Mus musculus: one gene and its partner. The protein of the gene in region 2 purifies or fractionates together with the protein of the main gene of each other region. This does not show direct contact. Links are inferred from orthologs where the notes say so. Each region holds a gene or a part of one and is shown on either strand. Other genes may lie near its edges.

Region 1 (3,816 bases), on a different chromosome or scaffold from region 2:
ATAAATTATTTCCTAAAGGTAACCACCTACCCTTAGTGAATCTGAAAAGGGATTTACTTTGAAGAAAATTAGCATTAACATAGCTATCCACAACAGTTAAAGTTCTTACAAGAAATTCATTACCTATTCACTTAACTGTCAGCCTAGTGTGACCTCTACAGACTAACTTAAAAACCCAAGGCGTTGTAACATGCATGATTTCAGTTGTCTTCTCTCTCCTTGAAATAAAGACCAGATTAGAATGGTGCGTCTTACGATTCTCACCATAGGATCTATGGTGGGACACTTGGTCTTGGTTATTTCAGGGCTTCCTTGCAGCTGTGAGGCACCAGTTGTCTTATCAGGTAAGTTAACCACAGGGGACTTCTGCATCTCACTCAATATATCATCTTCATCAAGCATCTGACTGTTTCTATAAAATAAAATGGGAACTTGGTTTTCTATCAGTTATAACACGTAACATTCCTATCAGTTACAACACACGGTAGCAGCCTTGAGGCTGTTCAGTTCTATGCTTCTGAGGACCTCTCACTGGGGTGCTCAGCTCATTCTGTCCAACTGAAGCCTAAAACCACAGTTAATGCTACAGTACATGTTTTTCATATATTATCACATCATACATTAGTCTTTAAAATCATGGACCAGGGCTGAAGAGATCGATCAGCAGCTAAGAGCGCTCGCTGTGGACCTAGGTTTAGTCCCAGAACCCACATGTTGGCTCACTGTCTGTTACCTCAGTTCCAATACCCTCTTCTAGCCTCTGGGCACATCAAGCACATAGATGATGCACTTACACACATACATGCAGGCAAACACTCACATACATAAAATGAAAATAAATACACCATTAAAACAGAAGATGAGAGATTTCAGAAATATGTAGCTGAAGAGTCTGATTGAGTTTTAAATTTTTCTGTCAGCAGTTGTAAAATAAGGAATAACCTCTTTCAAAAGCAGACTTGAACTTCGATGTTAGGAGTCATAATAAATGACAGGAACTATCCTCCACTCTGTACTTGCTTACCCACTCCACAGCTGAGGCATTCGGCTGGTTTCCCCACCCTGACTACTATGAATGACATCACTGTGAGCACCCATGTATACATTTCTGTGTAAACTCATGTTTTCAACTTAGGGGCATAAACCTAACAGGGGCAGTGCAAGGCCATACAACTGTTTTTTGTTTTTAAAATCTAAAGAATTATCACAATATGGGCATTCCAAAGAGAATGAATTACTTCATAACATCACACAGTATATGAGAATTCCAGTTTCTCCATATGCTAATATCAACATTTACTAATGACTTTGATTACAGATGCCTAGGAGCTAAGTAAGCATTTTTAGTTTCAAACTGTTATGAGAATCACATTATAGATTTGACTTAAATTTCCCAATGACTAGTGATACTATCTTTTCATGCTCAATTTAGGAAATATTTATTCTAATCAGTTGAACATCTTAAAATCAGGTTTTTCTTTTGTTATTGAGTTGTAACTGCTTATATATTCTAGATGTTGATATTATAGATGTATGTGACTTATAAATATTTTGTCATTCACTTGTCCTTTTTGTTTCTTGACTGCTCTCACAAGCATACACGGTTTCAAATGGGAGGAAATCCAATTTATCAAATGCTGATACTTTGCTGTTGGACATGTAAGGCCATTACCTGGGGCTGGGTGGTAAGGATTTATACCTATGCTACCCTCTGTAGATTTAGATGTTTGATCCGTTTTGATTCTATGTGATATAAAGTGAACGTCTAACTTCATTTCTTTCTTTGTGGATATTAGCTGTTCCAGTATTGTCTGGACAACTAACTTCAGCCTGTTTGTTTAGAATTGGTACCCTTACTGAAACTAACAGAAGTTATGAAACAAACGGATCTAACAGATACAATTTGCAAAACACATGAAACTCAAAAAGAAGGAAGACCAAAGTGTGGATACTTTATCCCTCCTTAGAATGAGGAACAAAATACCCATGGAAGGAGTTACAGAGACAAAGTTCGGAGCTGAGACAGAAGGAAGGACCATCCAGAGACTGCCCCACCCAGGGATCCATCCCATAAAAAAACACCAAACCCAGACACTATTGCATATGCCCGCAAGATTTTGAGGACAGGACCCTGATATAGCTGTCTCTTGTGAGGCTATGCCAGTAACTGGCAAATACAGAAGTGGATGCTCACAGTCATCTATTGGATGGAACACAGGGCCCCTAATGAAGGAACTAGAGAAAGTACCCAAGGAGCTAAAGGGGTCTGCAACTGCATAAAAGGAACAACAATATGAACTAACCAGTACCCCCAGAGCTTATGTCTCTAGTTGCATATGTAGCAGAGGATGGCCTAGTCGGCCATCAATGGAATTAGAGGCCCTTGGTCTTGTGAAGGTTATATGCCCCAGTACTGGGGAACACCAGAGCCAGAAAGCAGGAGTGGGTGGGTTGGGGAGCAGGGCGGGAGGGGGGTGGGGGGTAGGGTATAGGGGACTTTCAGGATAGCATTTGAAATTTAAATGAAGAAAATATCTAATAAAAAAAGAAAAGAGAAAATAGAAGTGTTCATCATCCTAAGCCATCAGGGGAAAAAAAAGAATTGGTGCCCTTGTCCAAGGTAAAGACCATAAATATAAGGGCTAATTTTTTAACCCTCAACTCCACTGAGTTATGTTTACCATTATGCCAGACAAAATGACTGCACTTTGTAGCAGGTTTTGAAATTGGGAAATGTGAGTTCTTCAGTAATAGTCTTCATACTTAAGATTGTATTAGAGGTTAAGTTATCCTTAAGGATTCAAAATATAATCTAAATTATGTTCAAACATGTTGCTTATTTTATGTCTTTAATATAAAATATGCTAATACAAAGAAACTGATTTTAAAATAATTACAAATGATTTTATAAATTTTCCTTTCATTTTTCTTTTATTGTAAATAGGTTTTTTTTTCATACAATATATTCTGAATCCTTTTTCCTTCCCCTCTGAGATCTTCCCAGTTCCTCTCCCATCCAAATCCACACCCTTCTGTAATTACAAATGAATGTTAAAGTTACTCATTGTCACATTAAAATGAGATTTCTATCAACATGCTATTGCTTTGTTCAGAATTAGTACTTGAAACCAGCAGTTATTTGCATGGAATATAAGTGCTAAGAATTTTAGTACTTTGGAAAAAATAAGTTAATATGTCAAAAATATACTGTGCTTTCCTGGAAGAAAATCTCCCAAAGGGACAAAATGGTGTTACTTCCTTCCTCATCAACAATGAAGTTTAGCCAAGGAAAAAAGTCTTACCCTCACCACAACATCACTCAATCTGATAATCAAGCGCCAACACCCACTCTGCACCCACTGCTGGGGACGTAACAAGAATGCAAAATACACTTCACATACTTGTAACTTTCCTACCACATTAGAGAGGTGGCCCAGGTTTTAACATGGATCTAACACTAACAGGCTCATGCTCTCTCTGTCTCTCTCTCTCTGTCTCTCTCTCTGTCTCTGTCTCTCTCTCTCTCTGTCTCTCTCTCTCTCTCTCTCTCTCTCTCTCTCTCTCTCTCTCTCTCTCTCTCTGTCTGTCTGTCTCACCATCTCCTTCCCCCTCCTCCCTTCCTCCTTCCCTATTTCATTCCATATAAGACTATTCCAGGTCGATGTCGCCATCCTCTGGGCACTTGCACAGTGGGTACCCAGGCAGTCGTTCTGGTACAGCAGAGGGTAGTCTGTAAGAGCATCATTCTGGAAATACTAGTCTGGAACCTGGACTTGTTACGTAACCCTAGGCGAGTCTCAAAACGTCTCTGCCTTC
Region 2 (4,506 bases):
ATGAACAGTCTGGTAAACCATAAAAAAAGCTATTTTTAACTTCTCAAATTAGCAATTACCAGTGTTGCTCAGTGTAAAGAAACTTACATTCTGCACTCTGTATTCTAGATATACTGTGATGAGGATTTAAGAATCCACAGCTATGGGTTGGAGAGTTGGCTCAGGGGTTAGGAACACTTATTACTCTTGCAGGGGACTCAAGACTCCCAGTACCACGTGGAAGCTCACAACTATCTGTAACTCTAGTCCCAGAGAATACAATACCCTCTTCTGACCTCCATAGGAGCCAGGAGCTCATGTAATACATACACATGCATGCAGGCAAAACACTCACACATAAAATAATAAATCTAAAATATTAAATTCATAACTGTAATAAGTATTTGGCTGTGATAATATCTACATTTCATATCTATCCCATGCATTCAAACCTGCACCCTCTTGTCTGCTCACTTTCTTTTATCAAGAATGCCCCTGCACACATAGGCTCCTCCTGGACCATTACATGCAGCTGGATTTGATCTGTATACAGTTCTGGCCCTTCTGCATATTTTAAAGTATCAATCCCAAGGCCACTGGCACGCATATAGGCAGACAAACATCAATCAAGATAAGCTTAATACACTAAGGCCAGTCCACAAAGCCAGATTTAAATCAGGTACAGATAGGGAGAATGATAAAGGGGAGGGGGGCACTCTCCTGGGAGGAAGGGAAAAGACTGGCTCAACAAGAGGGAAAACATGTCTGACCTGTACTGGAAACCTAGCTAACTACTCAGAAGGAAAAAGGAGGGTAAAATAACAGTACGGGTATCTAAAAAAGTCACAAAGAATCATACAGTTACGTATCTAAAACCAAAACAAACCTATAATAATGTAAATCTGTGTATAAATATACATATGTAGCTTTAACACACTCTTCTCACCTGGGCTGACAATGCTCCCTCCCAGAGCCAAAGACCACCCAATAAAAACCCAAATAGAAGACATGAGAAGCCCTCTTTTGAGTTGTTAGGATTGTAAACTAAAATTTCTTTTTCTGTAGGCATAAATTATTTCATGAGCACATACAGGGAAGAAAGGCCAGAAGGTTTTCAATGGATTGCCATCTCTGAATACTGCATTTATTCTAGTAAACAGAAAGGGCAACTGAACTGTGCTGTCGGGGCTGTCCAGGAGATCCCCAAAATAGACAGTCCATTTCTATTGACCTAGGGTGCATGCCCAGAGGTGGAAGGACTTGAGAAACAGGAATCAGAGAACCCTGAGCTGTAATGCTGCCTTCTACTAACACTTGTCCTTATACCCACAAATAAGCGCAGTCCTCTCCCCTCATCAAGGAAACTTTCCTTTGACAGAGATGGAGAGCAATAGAGAGGACCACAACCAATTAGAATGCAGAGTGTAGAACTCAGTCCCAATGGATAGATCCACACCTAAGGTATTGTGGAAGAGGGGACAGAAAGCAAGGTCAAAAACTTTGTTGTCAAATTGTGTCTCCAAGTAACACCAGACGCTTTGTTTACACTGTCACCAACATGACTGCCCACACATGCAGATAGTACCAGTGAGCATGCCAAAATGAACAGAGAGGAGCCATTGAGGCCTCAATCCTACACAAAGAACTACAGGCAACTAAGAAAAGCTAAGAGCAATAAAAGGGGTCTTCTCTAGGGAGGAGCACACCAACTGGCTGTCCAGTGCCAACCAGTCAGCCCTGAAACGTACATACAAGTGACACTAAACACACTGAACTAGTATATCTAGGAGTATTTATGTACATAGGTATAAGCATAGGATAACGATTAAGTGGGGGGAGGGAACATGGATTTGAAGGAGAGAATGGGAGGGTTTATGAGAGTGTAAAGAAGTAAAGAGGAGGTGTAACTATAATCTCAAAAATAAAAATTTTAAAGTTGAATATAAATGGAAAATATTAATATGAACTGCTTGTCTTTCACTTCGCCCTCATCGTCATCTGCCCCTCCTCTAAGCTAACGGAACTTTTTTTTTTTTTTTAAAGAACGAGTCTCTCTATTACATAGCCCTGGCTATCATGGAACTAGCTGTGTAGAGCAGGCTGACCTTGAACTCAGAGATCCACCTGCCACTGCCTTCCAAGCGCTGGGTTAAAGGGTGCGCCACCGCCTGGCAGAAAGGCACATTTTGTTGCCTTTCCAAACCCTCACCTTTTGGTGGTACTTGGCACGTGTAAGTCAAGCGCTTCCTTATGCTTTCAAAAGCACGTATCCGCTAGTAAAGAAACTGGGTCCTAGGGCCGCTATTTATTTTGTTTATCTGCTCCCCATACCCCACAGTACTCTCTCGACAGCAACAAATAACGACCACGAGGTGACAACTGGTGAGTCATTATGACTTTCCGTTACACCAGCACTACATTCCCAGCAGACACATAAGGAAAGGAGTCTTGGGATGTGGAATAGAGAGAACGCCGCAGGATGAGGATGCTCCAGGTCCACTGGGGTCTGCAGGCCGGCGGTCTCTAAATCTGGAACCTACAAACTGAGGTCTACACATCTGGAGCCTACACACCTGGGGTCCACACATGTGGGATCCCCTCACTTGGGACTCGTAATGGCAAGTGGGCTTAATACGAAAGCACAAGAGGCACAGGACAGGACAAACTTTGCTGGGCAGCGCAACTTTGAGAGTTCATTAGGGAGCCGCAACAAGTGAGTGCGCATGCCCAGTCGGCAGGGAAACGCAGACTGGGAGGAGCGAGAGCGGCCGGGAAGCTGCTGGCTCCCCCGCTGTCCCCGCGTAGGCCAGCGCTGCCGCGCGCCTTCCCGGCTCCCGCCCGCCCCCGGGCGTCCCCGGCCCGCTCACCAGTCAAGCCCCACTGCTGTAAGTCCGGTTCCTGCACCCGCGTCCGAAGCGGCTCCGGCCCGTGTTCGGCCGGCAGCGCCTGCAGGAAGCGCGGCAAGCCGCTCGCCATCCCGAGAGGCCCCGCGCCTTCGCTCCCGCGCGTGCGGAGTACAACGCACCGCCGCCAGAGGGCGCAGCTCGCGCGCCTTCCCACGCTTCCTTAGCACGCAGGTGCGGAAGACTCTGGTCTAAGTGTGCGTCTGCGACTAGGACCTAGAGGCTGCCTTTGCTAAAAGCTCTGACTCCTAACTTGGGTTGCTTGGGTAGCTAACAGCAAGCTCAAAACTTGGCAAGCTCCCCACCCCCCCTTAATTTCTTATCTGTCTTCTTTAAACTTTGGGTCCGATTCCTGAGCAGCTTTCCATGTTTTCAGTTACGATGCACATGCCTAAAAACTAGTACTACAAGGTAGATACGTCTTATATTATCTAACCTTTTTCTTCATGTATGACTAAAAACACCAAAATAAGATTAACTTTATCTCTTAAAATGTGTAGTGACAAGATACATTCAAAGAAAAGACCCTGGTGGTACATTCCTGTAATCTCAGCATTGGGGAGGCTGAGGCAGGAGAATTTGTGAGTTCAGTCTAGCCTGGGCTGCAAAGCAGGAAGGTGTCAATAAATAATAAAGATCAAAGCTCAGTTAGCAGAATGCTTGCCTCGAATGTACCAAGCCCTCGGGTGGGGCATGAGGGTGAGCACCTGTAATCCTAGCCCTAGGGAGCTGTCGGCAGGAGGACCGGAGCTCACGGTCAGCCTCAGCTACACAAGTTTGAAACCAGCCTAAGGTGCAGTAAACCTTTTCTTAAAAATAAAGTGCGAGAGAACTTCCCCCCCCCCCATCCCCTCAAGATTCCAAGAGTAGCCATTCAAACAGAACATCTATGTGTGATAAAAACAAAAACAAATAACAAATAACTAATGGCCACGTTGTCCTAAGAAGGACCAAGGCTGGCCCCACTATGCAGAAGTAGTCCTCTAATGACTAAGGGACTTTACCCATCCCGTTATACAGACTTCTCCAGGAACACACAGAACCAGAACTGAGGTACAACCAGATCAAGAGGGGAGATGTCAGATACACCAAGGTCATCGCACCCCTCTGTGATCAATTATCCCGTTATACAGACTTCTCCAGGAACACACAGAACCAGACCTGAGGTACAACCAGATCAAGAGTGGAGGTGTCAGATACACCAAGGTCATCGCACCCCTCTGTGATCAATTACGTTGAGGTTAAAGATTAACTCAAAAAAAAAAAAAAAAAAACAGTTCTCAGTGGGTACTTGAAGTTTCTTGTTTATAATATGAACTACTAGTGGGCTCTTACAAGAACATAGTGTGTTATCTGTCCCTTACCAGTGGAACTGAACAAACTTGCCCCCGTTTTCCAATAGAGCTGTATTGAATACAGTCCTTTTTTCACTAGTCGTTTTTCCATTTGATTGGGGGGGGAGGGGCAAATGGCTGGACCTGGTTTGTTGAGAGTCCCCCCAAATCAAAACTCTGGCAGCACTTCTGACCGTACTCTTGAGTCCCCAAGTCACTAGAAATGCTTACCAAGGGTTGGTTTTGAGTATCAGCTGTTATTTAACCAACACTGCCATCGTGTGCCTCGT

What was found.
Region 1: the proteins of Chd1l (region 2) and Aplf purify together in Homo sapiens (affinity purification with mass spectrometry; 4 studies listed by BioGRID and IntAct, counting the BioPlex papers as one, with this or other methods). This does not show direct contact. The link is inferred for Mus musculus from reciprocal best matches to the Homo sapiens genes CHD1L and APLF.

What each region holds. Positions count from the first base shown.
Region 1 is NC_000072.6:87,658,577-87,662,392, forward strand, and holds part of Aplf (aprataxin and PNK-like factor), read right to left. Parts: intron 413-3,816; coding exon 265-412; intron 19-264; exon of another isoform or gene 1-18. UniProt on the Homo sapiens protein: Histone chaperone involved in single-strand and double-strand DNA break repair.
Region 2 is NC_000069.6:97,607,217-97,611,722, forward strand, and holds the start of Chd1l (chromodomain-helicase-DNA-binding protein 1-like), read right to left. Parts: upstream 2,975-4,506; 5' UTR 2,956-2,974; coding exon 2,847-2,955; exon of another isoform or gene 2,722-2,846; intron 1-2,721. UniProt on the Homo sapiens protein: ATP-dependent chromatin remodeler that mediates chromatin-remodeling following DNA damage.